2 linked regions of the Coturnix japonica genome follow. The protein of the gene in region 2 interacts with the protein of the main gene of each other region in a biochemical or structural test. Links are inferred from orthologs where the notes say so. Each region holds a gene or a part of one and is shown on either strand. Other genes may lie near its edges.

Evidence for each region.
Region 1: the proteins of STON2 (region 2) and SYT1 form a complex in vitro, tested with the Homo sapiens proteins (2 studies listed by BioGRID). The link is inferred for Coturnix japonica from reciprocal best matches to the Homo sapiens genes STON2 and SYT1.

The regions. Positions count from the first base shown.
Region 1 is NC_029516.1:35,737,115-35,742,350, forward strand, and holds part of SYT1 (synaptotagmin-1), read left to right. Parts: intron 1-3,423; coding exon 3,424-3,608; intron 3,609-5,236. UniProt on the Homo sapiens protein: Calcium sensor that participates in triggering neurotransmitter release at the synapse. May have a regulatory role in the membrane interactions during trafficking of synaptic vesicles at the active zone of the synapse.
Region 2 is NC_029520.1:37,099,249-37,104,484, reverse strand, and holds part of STON2 (stonin-2), read left to right. Parts: intron 1-3,505; coding exon 3,506-3,708; intron 3,709-4,778; coding exon 4,779-4,862; 3' UTR 4,863-5,236. UniProt on the Homo sapiens protein: Adapter protein involved in endocytic machinery. Involved in the synaptic vesicle recycling. May facilitate clathrin-coated vesicle uncoating.

The DNA.
Region 1 (5,236 bases), on a different chromosome or scaffold from region 2:
TACTAACTATGCTACCTCAGCAGATCTTCTCCTATAGATCTGTCTGTAAGAGCCTTGGAGGTTCACCAAATCATGTAGTGATTCATGACAGTGTCTTTAAGACCACAGGAGCAGAACAAAGAAAATAGCACTGAAATACCAGAAAGCTTATGCACATATTAATTATACTTAAAGCTATAGCTTTTCCTTGACAGCTTACTTAAGTATTGCTTGTTTCAAAGCACCCCCTTGTGCTGGCACTAGGTAAGACAAATTATACAAGAAGCTTATGGCTGTCTGATACCTCTCTATCACTTGATCAAGATCTGTGTTTTTTATGTCTCCCAAACCCTTTTATCTGCTACAGAGGCCTTTTGTTTAATGGCTCATGTCCAAAGTCCTTCCAAGGTTTCAAAGTACACTGCTGGACCCGATCAAACTGATTGAATATAGATGGAGGTAGCCTTCAAACAGTAGATTCTTACTCTTGATGAACTGGAAAACGAAATTATGTGAACGTTGTATGTGTGGGAAAGTCTAACTAGATTCAAATATTATGAATCTCAGAAGGGAGCCACTTAACAATAATAAGTTCATATACTGTCCATGAAGTTTTTGTATATGTTGTTCACAGTTCATATGCCAAACTATTAAAGACTGTAGTTTTGAGACTTCCAAAGTTACAGTGACTTTAGTCACTTCATTCTGGGCTATCCAAAACTGCTTTTTAGAAATATCTTTTTCTGGAATTCAGGTTCCTCTGGCAGTGTCATGAATTGAGAGGAACAAATACAAAACCCCTCAAAGTTTGTAATAATTTTGGAAAATCTTGCCTAATTTATGTACTAGTGATTAACATTTATTTAGATAATGCTTTTGAAGAGCAACAACCATCATTTCAAAACTAGTGATTACAACGTTTCACTTCTCTTAAATCTAACATGTATATCCACTGCCAGCAATATTAGATTGGGCAACCTCTGTCAGTGGGAGTGTTCTGCTGAGACATCTTAACAGAGACAGCACACTTTCATTGGGGAAAAAAAATCCATTCCTTTTTGTTTTTTCAGACTTGAATATTGAAGATATTTTGGAAAATGTCCTGGTTCTGGGTTACCTCACTTTTTTTATTCTTTATTGCTTATGCTTTCTGTAATAAAAATAGAGCACATTTTCCTTGAGCAGATAAATGAAAGATTCTGTATAATTCTTGGTGTCTCAGATATTAATTTGGCGATCATTTAATTGCATCACAAGAGCTATTGGGTGAAATTAAATTACAAATAGATGAAGGCAGACAATGCCTTATAAAAATAAATAAATAAGTAAAGAGGTATCTGCAAGTGTTTGAAATTCTCCCTAACACACCCTACGTTGTTCATCCTCCAGAGAACCACGGCAACAGTGCCAGAATACCACTTTGCACAACAGCTACAGCATGCAGGCACCTGACTTCACTACCTACACAGGCTTTTTCATCTGTAGCATGCATATTTATATATCCTACGCACATTCCCCGTCTCAGTTCCTTGGTTCTCCCAGCTGAGCTGCATGTGATCTGCTCTGCCTCTCCTTCCTCCCACAGTGCCATCCTGCCAGCAGAATCCCTCCCATGCTCTTGTTGCTCCCTGTGTTGCGTTACGTTGTGCTTTGAGCATTCCTGGCAAGGCAGCAAAACAAATAGCTGATAGGTTTAAGCACATCATTCATTTGATTATTGACATAAATCTTAAGGATTAGCTTAGGTAAAAAATGTAACATACTATAAATACTATATAAAAGGCTATGTGTTTAATGCAGTTTAAGTGCATCAGTAAAGTTTAAATTTGAAAAGGACACATTGCCTGTGAAAGGCTGTGATTTTACATTGGCAAACACTGGGTGAACAGACAAAATTTTGCAGAAGTCAGGTGTGCTATGAAGTGTTGCTGTTGCACCTGATCCGAAGCAAAAATGAAAGCAGCAATGCTTGAAATACGGATTTTAAGTTGTGAGAAGTGCAGATCTAATACAACTTTTATTGCAGAATTCTTAGTGCTGACTCCATAAAATTCATCACATAAACAGCTGTTAATCTGTTCACTTTATCTTTTAACATTCGTTTAGTAATCAGTTCTCATTTGTTCTACATATGGTATAGCTTCTCTTTTATAGCAGCTGCATATAATGAACATTTGGAGGCTCAAAATGTATTACAAAAATTACCGCTTTACATTTTTCTACATTATTTTTGTATCTGTCACCAAGGACTTTTGAATGAAAGTTAGAAATTAAGGTCATTAAACATAGAGTAAGGAAAGTTCAGGTACTTTGTCCTCTTTCTGAACTGATGATTTGTAGTCAAATTTCCTGTGACCGTGCTTCACACTCTGCTTAGTTCCTTTAAGCAATTAATTTTCTCTATTTATACTGTCCATTCCCTTCTGTGATTCACTGACGTCAACATGTCAAATTTGATTCACTTGTCAGTTTTGTTCTGTGTCGTATGAGAGACCTCTCCGTTACACACTCAGAGTAACTTACAGACCTGGCAGACTGAGTGCATTTAGAGATTTTAGTAAACGAGAGTTTAAAATATTTAAAGTATCATCAAGTGTTCCAGTTCAGTGTTGGGATCTGTGGTCATTAAAACTGAGCTGTATGAACATAATTCCCTCCTGGACTGTTTGAGTATCATCTTAACTCCTTTTTCCCAATATTCTGATCTTTTACAAGACCATTTTATCACAGCAAGTGTTCTGTATTGTTTATTCATAATTCAGTTGTGTCCAGATTCCTGGACAGAATGAATAAATTGAACAAATGCTTTTCTTGGTAGGAAAGTGGGGGTGAAAATCTAGCTATGTCCAGCGAGTCTGCTAATATTAGGGTATGATGACTAATAGCACACATGCCCTTGGATTGGCCAGTAGTATGTCCTTGGTTAGTGTTTACTGGTGACCTTGACCTGCACTGTATTGTGAGGATTCTACACAGCAGCAGGCAGAGAAGTTCATCAAAACTGGCTGTTGGATCTGGTGCCATTCTGTAAACAGAAAATTCCTGGTCAGTTCTGCCCAATTCAGCCACAATGCCAGGTGGGTTGTAGAAATGATTAAAAAAAGGAAACAACTGCCTAAGTATGCCGAATATTTTGCAGGTCTGCACGGTGTAAATATATTGGACATACTGTTTTCAGATGGTTGATTTATTCAGAATAGCTGCGAGTTAATTTGATATGTGTCACCGGGCATGTAAATAGATAGATATTGGCACTGTGTGTGCAAAAGCGCGGTTGGGGGAAATATACAAAAGATGACAGAGTGCTTTAGAAAGAATTTCAGACATTTCTGCAAGGCATTTTCATTGCAAAACTTTCAGCTGTAAGAGAAATGTGCTTGTTTCTAAATTTAACCCTACTAACAGTTTACCACCTTCTCTTTTTTGTTTCTTTTTCTCTTCCAGTGCCACCTTGGGCCTTAATAGCCATAGCCATAGTTGCTGTCCTATTAATCCTTACCTGCTGCTTTTGTCTCTGTAAGAAATGCTTGTTCAAAAAGAAGAACAAGAAGAAGGGGAAGGAAAAGGGAGGGAAGAATGCTATTAACATGAAAGATGTTAAAGATTTAGGGAAAACCATGAAAGACCAGGTAAAGTACCTCTCCTTTTCTTCAACTCTTGAGTTATATTTGCAGAATTCTGCCTGACATGTCTAACAAAAAAATGTGCTTGACGCCTTGATAGTGGCTCTGTGAAGAGAGGACTGATAGTCAGCATATTCTCAATAGTATCTTAAAATGTGAATACAGGTATGGCATCACTGATAAAGCAGCCAACCAGTTTCTCTCCTCTGCTAATAAAATGAACAGACTTGTAATGACTCATCTGAAAGGAGAAAGTTTATTAAGAGTATATTGGCTGTGACAGAAATGTAGTAAATGTGTGCAGTTTTCAACAGTCTATTGTCAGGACTTTGACCAAGAGCAAGTATAACATTTATATCTTTCTAGCGGTAGTTCTGAGCACAGGTGATAAACACAGATCTGTACTCTGAATCTCCTTTTACACAAAAGCATAAGGTCAACTGAGAAACAAACAACAGCATAGAAGAGAAAATGAGAGACATATAAACAAAGGAAAACAAAATGAAATTGCATAGAGCATTTGGCACAGTGATGCTAAGAGAATTTATTTTGTGCAAGAGGTGGAGCTTAAAAATAGCAGGATATACTTGTAGCTGTAAGTCAGTGGAGTAACTCGGAGAAATAGATTAGCATAATGCCCTTTGAGTAGTATCATCTTCATGAGAGCAGAAAAACTTGTCCTTTAGATCTGCTTCATTAAAGAGAAGCAAAAGTTGCAGGACCTAATCCTCAGTGCCACAGACTTCAGTAATATGTTCCTGAAATATTATTTTTTTTAATCAGGATTTTATTATTGTCCTTCTTCCTTGCAGTTCTGGTGTTAAAAATTCATAGGTAAAGCTATTGAGAATAAACAGAAGAACAGGGAAATAAATGCAAAGAATTTGTGTGTTCTTTCTGCATTGCCAGATTTCCTAAGCAAAGACAAAGGGCTCTATTTTTCAAACAGAAAGTACTGAGGAGACTTAGAGAATTGCAATCTGAAACCTCTTCAGTAGCTGACAGTAACTGTAAAGATATTATACGTGTCTGTGCTTACAAGATCTTTTGTAAGATTTAGCCAGAGTAATTCAGAAGTGCCTTTTCAGTCAATGAGAAAAGACAAAAGTAAGGAATGTAAGTTCCTCCCATTAGCTGGAATCTAGTGTGTGAGGGAAGATGGGGTTGCAGACTGGTTGATTAGTAATAGAAGACAAATCTGGGAGCCTGAGGAATAGTGCTATCAGATCAAGAGTGAGATCCAGGAAAAGCCTAGAGAAGAGTAGAGTTGTAGGGAGCAGCCCAGCACAAGTGGTGGGATGTCACTGTACCCTGATGGAACAGCCACCAATGGGGCTCATCAGCCAGTCCTCAAGAGGCCTGTTACAGGCTAGCATAGTTTTTCAAGCATGTAAGTCATGACAGGGGAAGAATATCAAAAGCGGGTAAGGAGATCTTGTAATTTTGCTGGCTGGCTGCAACTATTTCCAGTTTCCAAAAGGACAGTTTTTGTTGTTGTTGCTCACTAGATAGCTGCCATTACTGAAATGTCAATGCATTAGGCTGTAGTTCATTTTTCTAGGCTATACACTATACCAATGGAGTAAACTTCAGATGGTGCTCTTGCGTACAGATTCAACCTTGGTTCCACCAGG
Region 2 (5,236 bases):
TCAGTGTTTGGTGTTTCCTGAAAAAAAGTTCAGTGTTGGACCGGATCTAACACTTTCTAAGTATAGTTGTTTATCCCAAGTTTAGGCTGCAGTGTTAGCAAAACTTTGATCTGTGTTTTCTAAGCTTTTGGATCACATTTCAGCCCAGGAACACCATGTTACACCATAGGTTATACATTTGGAGGGATATCACAGACAAAAATGAGGACTCCTTGTATTCTGTAGTATAGGACATAAGAGAGAGAGCTTGGGAACTTATGAAATATTGCAGTGAAAAATTAACTTCGGTCTGTATATGAGCAACAGCCTGCTTGTGAGGGAAATCTCACTATGCCATCTGTATAAGCTCTGGGAATGAGATCCTGTGAAACTGGGCCTTCTGTGGCATCTCCTTTCCAAAGATCTCATCACACCATACCAATGTTTCAGCTGGGAAAACGTAAGCCCCCAGACTTTAACACAATCATGGAAGATGCCTGTAGCAAACCAGGAGAAGAAGCAGAACTCCTGGCTCTGTTGTCTCCTGCAAGGCAATGCTCTCTTACCCACTGCAGCTGCAAGGCAAAATGTTTATCTGTGGCTCTTGCTTCCTTTATCTTGTCCCTCCCAGTGTGAGGCTTCATTACACATGCCCTATGTCAGAGGGAAATGAATCACACTCAGCACTGCTGCTGGCACCCTGCCACAAAGCACCTATCTGTCAGTGTCACAGTGCAGTACACAGTGCTGTAGTATTTGTTTACATCCTGAAAGGAAGAGAGTGTCCTCACTCCTCCGGTCAGGCCAGATGTAATTTCAGAGAAAGGAAGGGCCTTGCAAGCACTGCCTTGGCAAGGACACATGGGGTATATGAGAGGGAGGGAATCCCAAAGTGATGACAGGATAGGTTAAGTGTAGCTTAATTCTGACCTTGGCTCTCAAGGGCTATTTACATTTCTTGACAGTACTCATTCCACAGCTTTCCTTACTCAGAGTACGTGGCAAACAAAGAGGAGTGTACATGGAACCACTCAAGAGTGGTTCCCTGCCCTGAGTGCCAGCTCTGCAGAGCTGAGGATGCAGAGTGGGTCTGTCCTATGCTCACTGCCTGTGCACTGGCTGCAGAATGGCTTGGTAAGGGTTATCTCAGTGGTTTCACTGTCTTAATTAAATGTTTTCTCTTTGTGCATCCTAATGGGATGGGGCCCTTTGCACTCTCACTGTAGGAACTTTTTATCAGCACTGTCTGTATTATTCTGTAGACAAAGCATCTGCTTCTGACTAGAAGTCAAAAAGTGTATGACAAATAAAGGACTGTGTGTACTCTGACTATAATTTGACCTAGAAAACTAATGTGGATTGCATTTTACTGAGCATATTTCTGAAATCATTTATAAAGTAACTTGGTAAATGTTACTGCTAACACAGTCATAGCATTTGACAAAAAAAGGCCTTGCAGAGTTTCACATGCAGCAGTCTGGGCTCCAAGTGTTTCTGTTTTTTATTAACCCACCAGCAGAATGTTAGGAAAACATCCACCAGCCACCAGTCATGGGAAAACATTCCTGGAATGGGTCAGAGCTGTAGCCTCTGAGTGGGGATCTGGATGTTGAACTTGGGTCCAGTTTGGTTGAGGGTCCCCAGCATGCTGCCTGCTGCACCCTCTGCAGTAAATTAAGTCCTGTAATGCAAACATGTTAGGACATCAGAGGGCTTTGGAACAGATTCCCTCCAATCACAGTAAGCCAAGTGTCTACATGAATTACATTAGGAGGTCCACAATGTTCAGAATGGAATGCTAGTAGCACAAGGAAGCAGGAAGCTCAGAAGAGAATCAGTCTGGTGATTTCCTCCTGATTTTATTAGAAATGTGCATTTTTCTGTTGCAGAGGTAGCTCTGAGTGAGCCTGCTGAGCACACACAAGGTGCACAGAAGTTGTCCATTGTGTGCCTCAGGTTACTAATGAACACTGATGTACTCAATATTTCTTTTGGAGGAGGAGTTGCTCTCATAATCTGTTTGCTTGGTTGTCTACCATGCTGATCTGATTTACATTAATAACTTCTGTATTTGTCTCAGCGTTGTGCATGGTCCTTTCTAGTAGTTGGTATTCCTGATGGAAGAAATTAAATAATTGAATAATTACATTGTAAATTGAATGTCATGGTTTTATGATTTTTGGTTACTGGTGTTCCACATCATAACATCACGTAGTGCACTGGGAGTTAAAGTGTTAATGATAATTTTTAAAAATTCAGATATTTCTTACTATTTGAACTAATTCAGCAAAGCTAAATATTTCATGGAATCAGGTTGTTTCTAACACTGAACTACAACTGTAAGCTTTTCTGAAGGCTCTCTGCCTTGATCAGCTTTCCTATAATCAGCCCTCTTATTAAGGACACTGGACATTCTGCACTTCGGAGCCTTGTGTCCAATTCTGCTACAGGTTAACAATGTAGGCTGAAATATTATATGCTAAGTTTGGGGAAAATTTTAAACTGAATTTCTGCTCAAATTGTTCAGTCATTCCAGAAAATGAAGTTAGGAGAAAATGCAGTCTAGGCCATATCTAGCAGTTATCAGAACTAGGGCTGCTGTGCTTTGCACTGGGAGGGGAATATTATTTACTGAGCTTGGGATTTGTTTTCTTTTTTTTGTTTTGTTTTGTTTTTTATAAAACAAATTTATAATGGGATCCCTTCAGTCAGAAATCCCAAAGTGGCTGTGAATGTTCATTCTGCAGATAGAGAAACTGAGGCACAGAACCTAAATGGCTTGCTCAAGAGCTTAGGGGGTTTGTAACAGTCAGAAATGCAGCCAACTTAACTTAGCTAGCAGTTCCTACTTCATTTTTTTAAACATTTCTGCTGTCCAGCAAAGCAAAGGGAAGAATATAATAGCAAAAGTTATCAGTTACTAATGACAGTTATTGATCAGTTACTGATGACTGGTTTCTCACCTTTCCATCTTTAATGACTGGCTATCTAGTGGATGGTTAAGAATGATGAATACATTATTACTTCCAAGATGTGCACAAATATGCTTTTTGAACCCAGGAAAGTTTAATGTTATCCAATATGTTTGCTTTCAAAATAAATGGGGATAATCATTTCAAAAATAACTATGAAATATCTGCCAAATATGCCTTTACTTACTGTCAGCGCATATTTTAGAGGGATATTCCACAGTGTTCTTAACATGTTACATAGACTGAGGTAATAAGAAGAGGGAAAATATCCTTACCTACAGTGGTTGATTTATAACCCACTAAAAGCAAATTAGACTGATTGACAGTCATTTGTTTTGCAGTTCATTTAATTTATTTACTCTGACTAATTAAACTGAACTGAAACTCCAGCATATGGAGCATTGAAACAGATAAGATCCTGACATTTGATGCAAAGTAGTTCACCCAGGCAGATTCTCAGTTTCTTGCTGTTTCACGATGTTGCTTTTACTTAGATGCAATCTTCTTTCAACAAAGCAAGACAGCTTTCATGTCTGTTTGCTCTCTTTTTTAAGCTTCTGGCCATCCACACTGCTTCTTCTGTCACCTAGAGCTTGGCTCTGACCGGGAAGTGCCTTCCAGTTTTGTTCGCCACGTAGATGTGGAATTTGACATGCCCACTACTTCTGCATCCAAAGCCACTGTTCGGTCCATCTCTGTTGAGGACAAGACTGGTGTGAGAAAGTGGGTCAACTATTCAGCACACTACAGTTACAAGGTAAAAATGAGCATTTGTCAGTCACCATGGTTACTTCACATAATTTATTGTCTTGAAAAGTGTAGACAAACAAATGGGAATTTGATACATGTCAAGCTCTGTACAGTGGCTCCCCACATGCAGCCTGCAGATTCATGGCAGACAAGCTGTGTTTTATGGCTCAGTGAAAATATACACTGTGCTTACAGTGACTTTGTGGAAGAGCATGCATACAACCAGTTCCTGGGGAGAAGCTGATAAACTAGGAGTGTGAACAGGGACTTTTTCTATAGTGGGAGTTTTAAAGTGGGAGTACTACTGCAGACAAAAGGATCACATTGCTTCTGTGCTTATAGTTTTTTTTTCTGCCTGCCCTAAGGAGATGAACAGATGGGAAAATACACAATATGTATACCTGCCAAGAATCTCAGTATGACAGACTTGCATGGTAGATGATCACTCAGCAGACAAATAGGCATTCTACCTGCAATGATTGCAAGAGCAATGATGATAGATACTGAAAAGATTCTTGTGGCAAATATTTTTAATGTGAAATGTTATTACATTTTTAGTAGTATCTGAAATTCCCCAGAGATTATATTTGATCTTCCTAACTATCCCTTCTAAGAATTGAACATTTGATTGTCCCTGAATTTTTGGAGGAATTGAAATTTAGAAAAAAGATATCGGCGTGCCTTTTGCAAATGAATCTCTTTGCTTTCATCAGTTGCTTTGCAGAGTTTGAAACTGAGACTAGTCTTCTGCTGTCATGTAAAAAGCCACCTATACTCTGCAGGTTTGGTTCTGGATTTGGATACAAAATACAGATGGGGCTGGGGATGAATGAAAAATGAGACCAATTCTCTTCATGATCTTTTTTCTTCCAGAAACTGTTATGACACCATTGAATCATAAAATTGTTTGGATTTGACTTGAAACACAGTAAATCAAATCTATATTTCCCTCCTCCATCTATTACTCTTTACTATCCTCTCATTTTACTAAGATTTGCATCATCTGAGGAATGAACACTAAGGTGTTTTAAATTTATTGATTTATTCTCATTATCACTGTTCTTTTTCCTCTGCCAGGTAGAAATAGAGCAGAAAAAAAGCTTGAGTGAGGATCTGAAGGGAGAAGATACTGCAAATCTCAGTGAATGTTCCATACAGTGAAGGAATATCAGTGCTCAGGTCCCAAGAGGTGTGGTCAAACTAACAGACTTGGAAGAAAGGACTTAAATATTTTGGTATTTGTCTTTTGAAAGTATGGAGTATTACTTTTAAAATAATGCTTTGAAGAGTTTTATTTTTCCTGTAATTATCTGTGTCTTGAGAAGAAGGTCACCAGTAATTTGTTTGGAGTGGACCCATTGGCTGGAACAATTAAAGTACTTATCACCAATGCATTTGGTGTATTGACAGAATGAGTTGCTTTATAGTCAAGCCTGCCTTTTGTGCTTCTTCACCATCTGGGTTCTGCACTGAACATGCCACCATCACAGCCAAATCTGAAAGCACTCTTCATCTCACAATCTTGCCCTCCTGCA